Zea mays: one gene and its partner. Each later gene encodes a partner of the first gene's protein in a complex. Links are inferred from orthologs where the notes say so. Each region holds a gene or a part of one and is shown on either strand. Other genes may lie near its edges.

Region 1 (4,554 bases):
GCACAACCTCCCTGTGGGTATGTTCCCATGCGAGAATACCAACTACGAGTTCCCGTTGTCTCTGAGTTGTGGTTTGACGCCACGGTGTCAGGTATGCTAGGCGAGGGCCGCCTCACGTGAAGGTGGACAGGATCAAGACCAAGGTGCTCATCTCGGCTAGGGTCACCATTGTTAAGGCCGCCGCTGCCAAGGTCTACTTCACTATGAGGATCAAGTGGTCGCGCAACGGGACGCCTATGAACAAATGTGTTTGCTGCACACCGAGATGGACAAATGGTTGCTTTCAGTTGCAGGAATAAATTCTGCAGTCATTAGCTACCTGGGAGATCTGTGTGCATTGTACATCATGTGTTTTGTGCTTCGCTGTGAGAATGTGTAACACATGGAAGGATTCAGAATCTGTGCCCATTGCATATGATATATGTCTCGTGTCAGATTTTAACTACAAAACATCTGAAGCAGAGCTCGAGTTAGCTCAAACAATCTATCAGATTTTAAACTGAAGAGTGAAATAACATGCGAGAGATGAGTTCACTGGCAAGCTATTGCTCCATATATACGTGGTGGACTGGAATCGCGTGATGTGTGCTGATAGATTCTGCTAAGGCAAAAAAGAATGCTTAGTTTTTCTGGTTTCAACGTAGATCATCTTTACCACTTTATGAACAAATTAGATAAAATTACTACTTTATGCAAAAATTAGGTACAATTACACATAAATAGTGGTCATCTTTACCACTTTATGAAAAAATTAGATAAAATTACTACTTTATGCAAAAATTAGGTACAATTACACATAAATAGTAGTTTGGGCCTTTATTGGATTTACATCCACACCCATCTAACCAACAGAAGATATATATTTTGTGTTTTGTAAAACAAAGTCTATCAATAGGTAGTGGTTTGAATATTTGTTTGTTGTACATCCACCTTCATCTAACCAACAGAACCCACATGTTTTCGTGATTTGTTAAAATAAAGTCTAATTGTTTGATATATAGAAACCGTAACAACGCACGTGCAATTAGCTATAATAAGATTACATATTTATCTCGCCAATATAATAGTTTTACAGTGATATTTTGCCACATAGATTTTGCATATCATAATGTTGTTTATCGTTTCGTATCTATGTTTTATACTATTTTTTTTACTTTCGTAGCAACGCATGGGCATGAACCTAGTCATATATATGATCGCGTAAAAAATTATTTTATATTGTATACTACTGTTTATAAGAGTTAAGTTTAAAATAGCGGTTGAGATATGAGATATGATGAGTAAGGTGTTGAAGACAATCTAAGAGTACGGATCGTCGTCCCACCAAAAGGAGGGACTACGAAGTAAAAAAATACATATATGGGCGGCATAATTTCTGTTAACTTTTTATCCGGGGTATAGTGTTGAATTTTGAATATTTTTAAATATGAAAACCAAAAAGATGCACTATGCATCGATGGGTGGACATTTTGCAGGCTCCGAATTTTCCTCAAAGGGTGGACATGAGCCGAAATTCATGAGGTGGCCCAGTAACAGTAGTTTCTCTTAAAGGCTCAAGGCATGACTCCTCCATCTCCACTCGATCCTCCGTCTTATCACCGGTGAGGTACTGAGGTGAGACGATCTCCGCCACCATGGCCTCCAGCACCTCCCTCTCCCTTTGCTTGCACGCCTCGTCGCCCTCGTCCTCGTCTCCTGGACTCCGCCGACCCTCCCTCGCCTCCTCCTCGTCCTCCAGGTCCGAGAGAACGCGCAAGATCAGGGCCAAGGCGGTCAGGGAGGACTGGAGGCAGAAATCCAAGCCCATCCCTCCTGGCGCCGTCTACCCTGCCAAGGACCACTGCAGGTATATGCCTGCTGTGCTGCGCATTTCTTTGTTTGTTTGTGTGTTTATGTGATGCGAATATGCGATGCTTACCTCTGTTCCTATTTCTACTCGTATGGCGATTCAAGCCGTTGTGGGCTCTGCGACACATACTACGTTGCGCATGTCAAGACTGCCTGTGCCTTCCTGGGAGACGGCATGTCCCGTGTCGAGGTCACCTCCCTTCATCTTCGCATCACATCACCTGCCTAGAACGGCTCAAACAGTTTGCTGAATGAAAACAAAAATGATCGTCTGATGTTTGATCAAGCCATGGGCTGCAGTGCTGCACGCAGTTACTCCCTCCGTCGAAAGTTATAGTTCAACTTTTCTAACTCTGACCAAGTTCATAGAGACCATCTACAATATCAAAATGATTTCATCAATTTCTTCGTGAAAAATGTCTTGATAGTTTATTTGAACATATACAGAGGGAGTATATTTTTTTATAAAATACTTAGGTCAAGTCAAAGTTAAAAGAAGTTTTGATTTAGAATAAAGCTAAAGTGAACTATAATTTAGACCGAGGGAGTAGTAATGCTCGACATGAATTCTACACTTTGTTTCAGTGAAATAAAGCGGGGAACTCTCCTGTTTCCTAAAAAAAGTTGACACAAATTTACAGATGCCAACACTCTCCTCACTATATTTAGGATCTTGAGCGACAAGTCCACGGGAGAGGCCGGAAGGAAGGCATGGATGAAATGTACTTTGGAGTCTATGACCAACTCTTGTATGCCAGGAAGACCGAACCTGTTGAAGGTACTAATTACCTTTTACAAGTTGTTCTTATCCTTCAACAACCGCCTGCATCCATCTAAGGAAGCACACATATGCAATATACCAGTCTTGTTCACTGCCCTTCCATAACAAACCGAAACCACATACACCTCGAATGTTGCATCTTATTTCCTACACTATCTTGATATACTCAACAAACCTTTGTTAGACAAAACTGTACCCTGACGACTTATGTTTTGTACCCTGTAACATATATGTGCCTCACATGCAACAGGAGCCCAGTGGACGGGAATAGTGACAACAATCGCTGTCGAGATGCTGAAAGCAAACATGGTTGATGCTGTGGTTTGTGTACAAAGGCACCCAAACAAGAATCAAATGCCACATCATTCTTTCTCAGTGCTATGCACAAGCATTACCACATGGATTCAAATAATGTTTTTTACCCCCTCTGCAGTGATCCTGACGACAGGCTTGCTCCAAGACCTGTTTTGGCCAGGTATTGTGAAACTGATGGCTTTCAGAATTGTCCTTTATGGCTTGTGTATAACACTCCTTGACTGGATATACTTTTGCAATTCCAGACTTTCTGTAACTATTTTGAGCTTAAACTTTTGTTATCAGTCCATCCATGAATTACTCATGCTAATCATTATGTCCCTTGATTTCTAGAATGGAAGTGACATTTAATCTCAGTAGCCATGCTCTTGTAGGACACCAGACGAAGTAATTGCAGCCAAAGGTGTGAAGCCAACATTATCACCAAATCTCAATACACTTGCCTTAGTCGAGGTAAGTCGCTCCTTTTAACTCTATACTTCCCATGCCCCCTTATTCTTGATGCAAGCTATGGTGCCATGCCTCCTTTCCCTTTCTTATAACATATAGAAGTAATAATGGGTCATATCAGCAGATCTCTGAGAGTCAGAGAGAATCAGCTGTCCTAATATTAATTTAGGGTTAATTGATCCAGATATTCGTTCCCATTTCCCAATTCAAGAGAATTAGAAGTAGTTCAATTATATTTGAATTTGTTGCTTGGCAAGACCGCAAATGTAATTCTATTAGCCTATTAAATCTGGAGTAGCCCCACATTCTAGTGGGTTCCAAAGCCTATTCCAATCATCCCTCCAACCATAACAATACATATGATATCCTATAGTGACCAGTTTATAAATCCAGAGAGTTTCACAGTTTCCTTTGGCAGGCAGCTGGTGTAAAGCGGCTTCTTTTCTGCGGTGTGGGCTGTCAAGTGCAAGGTCTTTTCCTTTACCTGGCCTTTCTTCTCTTTCTATTGCTGATGTTTTATCAAATGTAAAAGTAAAAGTTGCTAAAGTTATTGTTTGAACTACAGCTTTGAGATCTGTAGAAAAGTACCTTGGTTTGGAAAAGCTTTATGTGCTTGGAACAAACTGTGGTAATTTCCATTTCTCCTCTCAAACCAGTCAATATTTACATTTTCTGTCGTGGAAGATAATATTGTAGCTCTAACATACTGTATTTTTCTTAGTTGACAATGGTACGCGTGAAGGGCTTGATAAATTCTTGAAAGCGGCAAGCAGTGAGCCAGAAACTGTTATGCATTATGAATTTATGCAAGACTATAAGGTATGACATTGAAATAATTAGCTGCATACATTCTTTTTCCCACATTGGTAGGTTCATGTATGGATAATCAATAGGATAGGAATACAGTTTTCCATATCAACAGCTCAAGGAGCAGTTTTAGGATCAACACAAGAACACATGGCATTTACAGAATTGCCATGATTTTCCTTAGATTTTTTTTATGTATGATCACATTGTATAACTGAGAATATTTACAGGTGCATCTAAAGCATTTAGATGGGCACATTGAAGAGGTAAATATTTGTTTGCCAATAATTCTGAGGCTTTATGGATTCTACAATGGAACTATTTAAGTCAGGGCCTAATTTTTGCAGGTTCCT
Region 2 (4,223 bases), about 62 Mb from region 1:
AAGTTTATATTACCCGCTCTTTGAGCAAATTTGAGAAGAGATTGCCTTGACCTTTGTGGTCGGCTTGTGGAGGATTAGGGTTGGAAAAGACCCGGCCCTTTGTGGGCTCCTCAGCGAGGAGTAGGACACCTTTGTGGTGGTTGCCGAACCTCGGGTTAAATCGCATGTTCTTGTGCGTTCTTGTCAAGTGCCTAAAATTGTTGGTTGTTTTATATTCATTTATTTGAGTGGATTTTCTGTAGGGAAAGTCATTAGCAAAATCTTTCACTACTTCGTCATATTAGTTTAACTGATTATTTAATCTAAGTTGAGCAGGTTCAAACTTGTTCAGTTGTAAACAAAATCAACTGAACCGGTTTGCACCAGTGCAACTTTAATTTGACATATCTCGAAGTTTTTAGTGAAAAATTTCAGGTGTAGCCTATTCACCCCCTCTCTAGGCTACTTTCAGTGACCTGTCATGGACCGTCATCGCTGTTCACGTTGCAGAGCCGAACCCAAAGTATTGCTCGTCACGAGAAGTGACTAGGCTTCATTGGTGTTTGGTTTTAAATAGATGGTGGTCATCATAGAGGTGGTGTACTATAAATCAGCGATAGAGATAAAGTTCAAGACCGCATCCGAGATAGTGTTATTTATTTTACATCTTATCTACAATCTCGCTTCGGTCATTAGTAATTGGCGCCCAAATTAGGTCCAAGACACTCCTTCACACATTTTGCCTTTTTAAACGCAATAAAAAATATGGACCTTCCGATTTTCCGAACTATCCTCCAAGTTATTAGAGTTAATAGATAATCGTGGCTGGGCAAAATACTCGTGGCTCGTGAGCTCGCTCGACTCGTGGCCAGCTCGGCTCGACTCGACTCGGCTCGTTTCAATTTTATCACGAGCTGAGCTAACATCTCAGCTCGGTTCGTTAACGAGCCAGCTCGACACGAGCTCGAGCCAGCTCGTTAGCTCGAATGAGCTAGCATTTATCTGTAAAACAAAGCCTATACTTGTATTAGATGAATTAATAAGTGATGAACTATGTTAGTTTACGGTTTAGATGATGTGATATATAAAATTATGAGTATTGTTAGTCTTTTCTAGTGTTAAATTAGTATGAAATTAACTAGCAATTAATTATATTGTTGTATATATACATGTATAATATTTTTTGTTCTGGCTCGCGAGATAAACGAGCCAGCTCGAGCTCGCAAACGAGCCGAGCCGAGCTGATTCTCTGGCTCGGTTGCTTAACGAGCCGAGCCGAGCCAGCTCGTTTCCTTAACGAGCCAGCTCGAGCTCGGTCGAGCCGAGCCGAGTGGCTCGATATCCACCCCGATAATCACGTAAATTCTTTTTTGTGCGTGCATTGGCGATAGCGCTGCCTCCTCTTTGTAGCTGCTACCTGCTAGTTCTCACGTCACTGTAGTCTGTAACGTCGTCTTCTTACTCCCCCTATCCGACGCCGGGACAGGAATCAGCTTCCCCTCCATGCTCCGGCTGGAGCAATATCTCCGGTTGCTGCCGGCGACCAGCCACGCTACAGCGCCCGCGTTGATCTCGGGTTACTCTTTCCTCTCCAGTCCTCTCCCTCGCCTCAGTGCCCTCCGGCTAGCCCGCTCGCGGCCTCCCCCGCTCAGGGGCAAAACGTCGAGCCCCGTGCGCGCCTCGGCGGAGCCGGATTCTACGGTAAAGCGCGCGCCCGAGATGGCCCAGAGGGAGGTGGCGCGGGTGGTCGCGGATCAGGCGGTGGCGCGTTTGGGCGCGCGGCTGCTGCCGTCCGCCGTGCCTGCCGACGTCGTCGAGTTTCGCAACGCCGCCGGGAACGCCGTCGGCTCGCTCGACGTGCAACGGGGCTCTCCTGGCTCGTCGGTACAGTTCAATAGTGATCCTATTTTTTTTTTTCTTGTGGTAGTACCGTACCATGTTAGTATAATACAGCTTTCGTGTGGTTGCATACCAAAAGATAAGGGCATACTACTATACTGCTCTGTGCGTAATACGGTTATGGGATCTCCAGTATGACTCGGAATCGGCACATCATGCATTCCACCATTTTTCCTTGGTATATAGTACTCAAATACACACATCACCCCATATATGGCATCTGTATTGAATACCAAAAAATGGCTTGTGTTTCAGTTCAGTATGGTTTGGTGCACTTGCTGACCGCCTACTTCTCGCCAATTGGATAATTGTTGTCCACTGATCCATTCAAGGTGAATTGTCAAAGTTTTAGATGGAAATATTGCTAATGCAACTCTATCAAAGCATCTTGTCAATTGTAGGTTACTAACAGTTCTCCATTTGAGTCCCTTAGATTATTGTTGTGACTTGTGAGACTGCCGAGTTCCAGATAAAGAAACTGGCAATGATCCGTCCCGTGATTTCCAAAACTTAAACTGTAATCGCAGTCCAATCTGAATATCACTGTCATATATGTTGTTGTCCTTGAGCTGATAGTTCAATCTTAATATGTGATTTCAGTCATTGAAAACAGCAATGTCGTCGAGGATGGAAGAAAGCTTGCATTAACATGCTTCCTGTTTGCTACTGCTGTAAGATGTAGTAAAAAGAAACGATGACAGGACCTGATGTGCGTTTCCTCCTTGTCTACAGATTGATTTCATGCTGCAGTCCTCGCTTCACTGTGAAGTCCCGAACGGTGCCATTGACATCACCTCAATTCTCATTTTCCTGAACGCCTCGACGGACGCACCACATTTCCTACTGGAGCTCATACAAGGCAGCTCAACTTCAATGGTGGTGATTCTGGACCTGCTTCCACGGAAAGACCTCGCGTTTCACCCGGACTACCTGCAGAAGTACTACGAGGAAACTGGAATGGATGAGCAGCGCAGAAAGATCGAGGAGCTACCGCAGGCTCGTCCATACAGATCTCCGTCACTCTTCGTGCGCAGCGCATGCTCGCCTACAGCAATAATGGTGAGCATTGACTGTGGACAAGGGGGTGAGAAAGCCTTGGAAGAGATAATACATGGACAGTTAGCAAAGGTCATTCAGGAGGCTCTTCAGACTTGGCTTGACAACTGTGTTGATTCCACCATAGAGATGGATGAGGCGGAGAGGGACTGCCTGCTCAAGAGGGACCGGATTGTAAGGTCGAAATCGATAGAGGTTGACCTGACTGCAAACCTTCCCAGGATGTTTGGTCCGGATGTGTCTAGTCGGGTCATAACTGAAATCCGCAAGGCCTTTGGTGTACAAGAGCCGTAAGTCGTTCATAAATACAAGCATGTAGTTACTTTATTGTAGAGAAAAATTGTTGTGAGTCCATGAAACCCCCTTATTTGAACAATCGAAAGTATATGTGCTAAAGTTGTGTATATATTACTACCAAGTGCTAACTGAGATGATGAAAGTGAGCTATGCAGGTGAAGATGATCAGTTGTTAGGACCAGGTTTCCAGGAACAGTCTCTCATCACAGAGTTCCTAAGCCGTTCCTGTCTTCCTGATGCTAACATACCCAATAAGCATAAGAATTAGCTCTGCCTAAAAAGGAGGTACTGAATGGCGGTGTGTTTTGCTGCATCTTGTTTTATGTATATAAAACTTTGGTGTATATGGTGTACATATTAAAAAAATATCCATCCATGTTAGATCTACTATCCTTTGCCGCTGTATGTATTTTGCAAAGAACACTCTCCATCACCATTTTTCGCAATGTTCGGATATGGCATCATAATAGTATTATGTGTACCTGATATGTTCAAATGACAACTACAACCAGGTTGTTCCGTGTTCAAGCGAAACTGTGGCGAGCTAGCATAGCAGCAGCCACTCCTGAGCTCGGATGCACATGATGATGGTAACAAGTAATGTTCGATAATATCGGTCCTATGAAATTTGTTTTGATCCCGGAGGGGGGGGGGGGGGGGGGGGTCAAACAAGTAGCTACTGTCTTGTGCGTATCTGGACGTTGCATAGTTCGTGACGGCCGTTCGGGTTTATGCATTTGCTGGACTTTACATCAGTAACTTTTGGACTTTGGCGATAGGATGAAAATCTGTTTCAGAATGAAATTCACGTATGTATACAATTGTGCACGATAATACGTCAAGGAAATCCCTGGATTAAAACAAAGTGACACGTTGCGGTGTGCCTCATTGCATGGACGAGTTTTTCTCTATTTTTTGAATTGAATGCGTGAATTCAAACATTCAGCTTAAAGTAGTAAACTAATCAGAGCAGTAAAATGTTTGAGGATAAG

Evidence for each region.
Region 2: 7-hydroxymethyl chlorophyll a reductase, chloroplastic (region 1) and uncharacterized protein LOC100272914 share a complex: the UniProt entries of both Arabidopsis thaliana proteins name them as parts of the SGR1-CCE-LHCII complex. The link is inferred for Zea mays from reciprocal best matches to the Arabidopsis thaliana genes HCAR and ACD2.

The regions. Positions count from the first base shown.
Region 1 is NC_050096.1:206,310,812-206,315,365, forward strand, and holds the start of 7-hydroxymethyl chlorophyll a reductase, chloroplastic, read left to right. Parts: upstream 1-1,530; 5' UTR 1,531-1,634; coding exon 1,635-1,846; intron 1,847-1,953; coding exon 1,954-2,038; intron 2,039-2,517; coding exon 2,518-2,626; intron 2,627-2,879; coding exon 2,880-2,964; intron 2,965-3,062; coding exon 3,063-3,104; intron 3,105-3,318; coding exon 3,319-3,397; intron 3,398-3,812; coding exon 3,813-3,864; intron 3,865-3,959; coding exon 3,960-4,022; intron 4,023-4,115; coding exon 4,116-4,213; intron 4,214-4,431; coding exon 4,432-4,467; intron 4,468-4,548; coding exon 4,549-4,554. UniProt on the Arabidopsis thaliana protein: Probable iron-sulfur flavoprotein that converts 7-hydroxymethyl chlorophyll a to chlorophyll a using ferredoxin as a reducing equivalent. Catalyzes the reduction of a hydroxymethyl group to a methyl group. Belongs to the chlorophyll catabolic enzymes (CCEs).
Region 2 is NC_050096.1:144,516,554-144,520,776, reverse strand, and holds uncharacterized protein LOC100272914, read left to right. Parts: upstream 1-1,470; 5' UTR 1,471-1,482; coding exon 1,483-1,863; intron 1,864-2,610; coding exon 2,611-3,228; 3' UTR 3,229-3,386; coding exon of another isoform or gene 3,387-3,390; 3' UTR 3,391-3,619; downstream 3,620-4,223. UniProt on the Arabidopsis thaliana protein: Catalyzes the key reaction of chlorophyll catabolism, porphyrin macrocycle cleavage of pheophorbide a (pheide a) to a primary fluorescent catabolite (pFCC).